Saccharomyces cerevisiae S288C: one gene and its partner. The protein of the gene in region 1 binds, or shares a complex with, the protein of each later gene. Each region holds a gene or a part of one and is shown on either strand. Other genes may lie near its edges.

Region 1 (3,600 bases):
GCCGTTCTTCATTAATACCATTATACAGCGGTAAATCCTGTATTAATGTTTTTTCAAAAGTATTGAGTTCGTCAACAAAGATTGAAAGTTTAAATGGGGGGGCTAGCTCTTTCTTTGATTCTTCGGTTTCGATCAACGCTGATGATGCAGCTACTTCATGTTGTATTAAAACAACTTCGCTTGAGGAGGATGGCTTTTTTAGAAGTAACTTGGTGTCAATAGAAGATATAATTTGATCGTGGGCACCTTCTTGAGATAACAAACCATCTGCAAAATCAAAATCACTCTTAGCTCCTGCTTCATTCTTTCCATTCTCATCATTATCGTTAGCAGCAGCACTTTCTTTTTCAGTAATATCGTCAACGTTCGCAATAATTCCAATGTCATCCTTACCGGCTATGCTAATATCGGAATCATTTCTTGAAGTATCCGATGGTCTACCGGACTTTTCAGATATGCGCCCGTCGTCAGATAATTTATTTTCCTTACCAGGTAGAAGTGTTTTACGTTTTACACAGCATATTTCCCCATAGGTCCAGTAGTCCTTGATTGCCTGTGCCATTGCTGTGCAGATAGCTACTTTATATTTGTGGCCCTCTTTAAAATCTGCTTGCATCCATTTAGCTTCTTCTAAAAGTATGTTTTGATGCGTATTGTGTTGTTTCCACGGATCGATGAATCTTTTAGGTTGTCTTAAAGACCATAATCCAAGTCTTCTTAGTTCTTCTATTCGCGAGCCAACAACAGTAATTCTGGCCTCGTTTAAGGCGTTGTTTATAATATTAGTGGTCAAAGCCTTGTGAGCTCTCGGTATTAGATTAATAAGAGGCAGAGTTTGTGACATGTACTTCAATTCTGCTAAGGGCAAAGCCTGGGGTATTTTCGATGGTATATAATCGTTCATTAATAAAAATACGGTCTCTAATGCGTCAACATTGTTCTCGTTATAATGGTCTGATGTATCTATCTCTTTCGCCATAATGTTCTTTATCAACGGATCCTTGAATTTTACTGCAGGTTGCACCTCAGTGGGATCTGCTGGTGGGTACTCGATGTTCTCATAATAAGTGTAGTGTGCTAATGCATTAGGCACTGGGGGACGCGGCGAAATAGGTAATGAAGCCATTTCCGAATTATTAGAAGATTCCAATGACTGAGATTGCATCTTCTGTCTTTTTTCATGTCGCTCTTCTTCACCTCCCATAGTTGACTCAAGTGGCCTTTTGTTCCACATACCTCCTGTCTTTTCAGCTGGCCTCAAAGAATCCATCATATTTTCACGGATTGAATTATCGTGGCTTGGAACAAAATGACTCTCTGATTTGACTGATACATTTTCGCTATTTTCTGGCAGTTCCCTACTCATTTTAGAATCGGATAGCCTCTGGTTAGGTACATTTATTAAATTTACATCCTTCAATTTCTTTTTTGTTATGGGAGTCGCAGCTGTATGTAGGAGCTTCGGCAGTGACGCCTCGTCAAACCTTATACCCCTTCGTATATCGTTTTTCTTTAAAAATGCATCTATTTCCTTCCGAAGTTTGTTTTCATCTGTTAACTCTAGCAGCTGGTTCAAGCGGGATACGCAGTATAGTTCGGTCAGTTTTCTATCTCTTTCATCAATTAAGTCATCTGCCTTAGGAAATTTACTTCTATCACTGCTCTGGTCCTCACTGAGTGATGCTGAATTAGGCACTGCTGAACTTGGACGTGAGGACATCTTTGAGGCGGAAACTGTACTTTTGATTATGATGTCTCTAAATAATCTTTATATTCTATCTGTTCGGCGGCTAACGCCTACGGGTAATAGCCGGCCTTTGAAAATTTCGCGGCTGCAGCAAGTACGCAAAAATCCTTATCCCTTCTAACGGTTCGAAAGGGGGAAGAACCAGAAATTTTGTAGTTACGCCGCAAATACCTGTATGCCCCGGCTCAAAATGCTCAACACTTATATGCTGACTATGTTCTATAAGGCTCAGGGTGAATGACCTTTCTTGAATTACAATCTGATTTCACTTTGCACAATATATACTATGTATTTTTATTGGAGCACACGACATTAAAAAGATGATCGCCCAGAAAAATTTTCAGCGGTGGCGGATTAATTTTTACTGTCCTCGGCAGCCCAAAATTATCCGTGTAGGATGACATAAAGGCTCAATGGCCGCTGCTGCTTCGTCTGTTAATAATATACAAATTGCACTAACTGTGCAGGGCAGTGATCGCAACTATTTACTTTTCGTAAAATTACCAAGTGGAAATTTCTGTTTCCAATTCATCGATACTTTTGACAAGGCCTTCGTGATCAAGAATCATGTATGAGCTGATAACACCCTTTTTAGCTTCTGATTCGAAGTGAATCTTGGCATATTTTTCAAAAAATCGGTCCTCCTCATGAAAGTAGTCTACTTCATCGGCCTTCACCCTTTTTTTGGATCTTTCGTCTTTGTTTTTATTCCTCTTACCAGAGTCGGTATCATCGTCAGTGTCAAAATTTACTTCATACTTCCTGGTGACGATGATATAGAAGTCATAATGTTTGTCATCGCCAAGTGCCGTGGCAACATCCTCCAACGTAATCTTGTATAAAGGTGGAACGACTTCCGGTGGCATATTAATCAGCCTTTCACTGAGAACCAAAGCACAATTTTTATTACCACTATCAATCATAGTTTTGAAGAAAGTGGAAAGTCTCATGTCCACTTTTTGTAAATATTTGACATAATCACTTAGATGATTAGCTTTGAAATCAACGAATGAAAGAAAACAGTATGGATCAGATTCTTTGCCGTCTGTTTTAATTGTGGTGGTTGGGGAACCTAGGATCAAATCTGCCAAGCTGCTTAGTTGAATCCTGGTACTTTCTTGAGGACCAAATAACTGACGCAGTAAATTCTTTAAAGCATGAAAATCAACTTCTGGGTTACCACCGAAAAAATCGAAGTCAATATTTACGATCTCTTCTTCTCCATTTTGCTCTTCTTCATTTTCTGAATCGGTGCTACTAATGTCAATTTCAGACTCGTCACTGCCATTTTCTTCCTCCACATTTTTTCTCTTCCTATTTTTTAAATCATTTAATTTGATAGCTTGAACCATATTTGTGAGTTAATTAGCAATCCTATGAAAATGTGGGCCTCATGAACAATCTAAATGATAAAATTATAAGGACATAATAGATAATATATTGACAACTCTTTTTCAGATATTTTTTCTACCTCAATCTCATCGCGAGGAATATAGGCACGGAAAGAGAAACTCGTATAAAGTGACCACGGATATCGAGAATTTGATAATTTACCCTTAACTGAAGTTATGGCACAATATCTGTATAAATTTTAATACATAATTTGCGGCAGGAATAACTGCAACAATACTCAAAGTTATTAGTGCTAGCCAGGCGATATTTTACATTAGGCTATTTTATTCCTTTTTCATTTCAATAAAAAAAGATAGTTTTTTTCGTCAACAATAGTTCAATGTCACAAATTGTATTTATTACGTAAAGTCCATCTCATGACAGGTATTCGAGTGTTAATAGTCCAGCACTATTAGAAAATGCATAACATTTGCCTCCAGCGCTCGTTTCATTCCATTTTG
Region 2 (3,090 bases), on another chromosome or scaffold:
CAAATTGTGAATGGAAACTAGGCAATCCTTTTTGATACAAATTGGAATATCTGGTTGAACAGTGATAGATGCAATTTTACCATTTTCGTCTACTAGCCTGAAACGGGAAGTCGCAATATCCTTGCTTAAGTTCTCGATATATGTCCTTTCTTTAGTTACGACATTACTCTCCGTCTTGGCCGCTTGTGGGCTCAAAAGAGAAATTGATCTCTGCCAAACTCGAGTATTCACCCTTGGGCTTATCATGATGGGTGGATATCCTTTTCTGTGCTTCTGTTTTGTTTATCTGTATCCGTTTATTCGCCAGCCAATAAAATGACTGGGAGCACGGGACCTTTGAAATTTTGCCCTTGTTAGTAAATCGTTATAAAAATACTTATATAGATATTTTATAGAAAATGAAAAATAAAAGAAATAGCCAATATGTAGGTATATCGAACTTAAAGGTCACCTGTCGAAATCATTTCCTTCTTCTCTCTTTTTCTTTTCAATCAGATGTTTTAGAGCGGTCAAGCAACGTAAATACCAACGTGTGCTATCGCATTAGTCGTTTTGTGATTGGCCATGCTGCTGCTTCACGTACGTAGCACTACTTAATGAAAAAATACGATCATTGTTATTGAATGCAGAATCTGCATGGCTGTGGTGTGACTTGGAGAAGGTATCAAACCCTTTTATGATGTTACCAGAATAGTGTGATTTTGACCCATGGGCTCCCCCATGACCTGAATGGTTGTTATTACTATTGTGTGAGAAATACTCGGTCTCTTTATCATATATCTCTTGTTGTAAGTTGTCAAAGGTATCTTCTTGCTCTCTTCTATCTTGGAGGGACTTTTTTAGTTCCGCTTTCAATGCTTCATAACTTTTCAGCTCATCAGTCATTTTCTTCTAGGCGTAGGTTGGTAACAAACGGAAAGATGATGGAAAATGGCTGTTCTCTAAAGATGTTTATCTTACGTATATTCTTTGCTTTCGTTGTGGCTTTACACACCTTTAATCATTAATTTAATGGCATAGTCGGCAAGTTGTTGAAGGACCTGGGTTAATCGCCTACATGTGAGGTTTTTTTAAAAATATCAATTACATTTAAAAAAGGAAAGCAGTAGTACCAAAAATCGGGCAAAAAAAATTTACCTAAATAAAGGAATGCATAAATGAAGCCGTTTAATCTTTGTATTTAATGAGAATATTACATATGAAGGTCTCTTGAGAAAGCATCAATAGTGGACATTAGCTACCTTTTAAATAAATGAACGGGTATGTCACCCATGGGTTCAAACTCTTCATCATCCTCGTCTTCACTGCGTACTTCATCGTATTCGTAACCCAAATTTTCTTTTATGTAATAGTGATCTTTCTTACTTTTCCTCTTTTCCAAAAGGTCATCGAATTCGTCCTCTTCCATATTCATTTGATTGAATTTGTTAAGTATTCTTTGTAAGAATGGTGTGTTCTCCCCAGCAGTTGCCGTGGTATTAGCATTCTTCATAGTATTCCTTGGGGGTAGCAAGGGAGGACCCGATGTTGGAGTTGATTCTGAACTACGGCTTGGAGCAATATTTTGCATACGTTGTGACCGATTAGGCGGAGGGTTCGGTTTACGATTGGGTAGAGTGTTATTTATGTTGCTATTAACATTATTATTGGGCTTACTAAAAAAATCGTTTATACTCTTTTTTCCCTTGAGCATATTTGGTGAATTATTTACGTCCACAAATGTCTGTTGAATTCTTTTGGTAAAAGTAGAGAGGTATTCACTTGGGTTCTGGTTACCTAATTTCTGTTGTCCATTTCGGGGCAGTGTATCTTTGAACTGTAACTCTAATTGTTTTAATTCTTTTTGGGCGACCTCTAATTTGAAACTAAGTTCATTGATTTCTCTGTGTTTTGCAGCTAATTTATATATTAAATCTTGGTCTGTTGAAATCGGACTTGCGTGGTCGCTCACGGGTGACTGATTTGTCGTAGATCTTTGCGGACTTGATATAGGTATAGCAAGTCTTTTGGGCTTTAAAGGTGTCGTAACCCTTGGTGATTTTGATTCAGGCTGCACTTCATGTTGTTTTTGATGCGGCTGTTGCTGCTGTCCTTGGGAGTGTTTATCGACAATCGACAGCTTATGTAATTCAATTGGTTGACTAATTACACGCTGGTCTTCTGACATTACTTTAGGGCGTATGTATGGATGTATTTTGTATTGCTTTTGGCTAGTTAGTAGTATTCCTCAATCGTATTGTTTTTGATTTTGAAAAAGCTAACGATAAAGGTCAGGAAAAAAAAAGAAAATTGTATGTAAAGGAATGTCTGGAGAGAGTTACACAGGAACAGAAAGGTCCAGCAACGGTTTCTACAACCAATCATGGATGTTGATATAGGATGTTATTTTGAAGAGAAACGCTATGACGACAAACTGTTAGACTTCATCAGATATGACGTTAAAACACCTAAAAAGACTAAATATATACTACAAAGGCCTACGGCGACAGATGAAGAGAGTGTACGATTACAAAGGTTTTACCAATTAGGAGTAGATCTAAAATTGAAGTATTCCAAGCGGAGGTCATTGAAGAAGCAAGGGCGGATCAAGAATGCTACTGAGGAATTGCTGCGATTAGCCAATGAACAGTTGAAACTTTTCAACAGAATAGTAGAAAGAGAAACCAATTGGATAATTTATCCGCTGTGGGTAATGGCTAAACAATTAATTCGTCTGGCAAACGAATCTAGTGAACTTAATAAAGACTCAATTGAGGAATGTGGACGCACTATCCATAGAAGCTTTACTATATGCCTCAATGATAGGAACCCAAGATTGAATGAAAATAAAAAAATCGGGTGTTATATGTTTGCTAATCTAGAGTTTTCCATCTACCATCGGTTAAGTAATAAAGATATGATTAAAAATTTAGTGAAAGTCCTCGAGAGCAGAGTGAACGCCCGGGATATACCACCGTTGAATAAAAGCCTGGCAATGGAACATAAGTCTCAAGTGGTGTTGTATAATTATTATCTAGGTCAATACTACGGATGTCTGGAAAACGATCACGAACGCGGGTTCTTCCATTTAAATGAAGCATTATTGCAATG

The links. Proteins that work in one complex are often made in the same cells at the same time.
Region 2: EAF1 (region 1) and EAF6 share a complex: the UniProt entries of both Saccharomyces cerevisiae proteins name them as parts of the nuA4 histone acetyltransferase complex.

Annotation. Positions count from the first base shown.
Region 1 is NC_001136.10:1,193,165-1,196,764, forward strand, and holds the start of EAF1 (Eaf1p), read right to left. Parts: upstream 1,721-3,600; coding exon 1-1,720. Other genes in the region: protein-transporting protein BCP1, read right to left, coding at 2,248-3,099; transcription factor TFIIIC subunit TFC6, read right to left, coding at 3,515-3,600. UniProt on the Saccharomyces cerevisiae protein: Component of the NuA4 histone acetyltransferase complex which is involved in transcriptional activation of selected genes principally by acetylation of nucleosomal histone H4 and H2A. The NuA4 complex is also involved in DNA repair.
Region 2 is NC_001142.9:581,371-584,460, forward strand, and holds EAF6 (Eaf6p), read right to left. Parts: upstream 886-3,090; coding exon 544-885; downstream 1-543. Other genes in the region: AIM24 (Aim24p), read right to left, coding at 1-246; ACF4 (Acf4p), read right to left, coding at 1,238-2,167; YJR084W (uncharacterized protein), read left to right, coding at 2,363-3,090. UniProt on the Saccharomyces cerevisiae protein: Component of the NuA4 histone acetyltransferase complex which is involved in transcriptional activation of selected genes principally by acetylation of nucleosomal histone H4 and H2A. The NuA4 complex is also involved in DNA repair.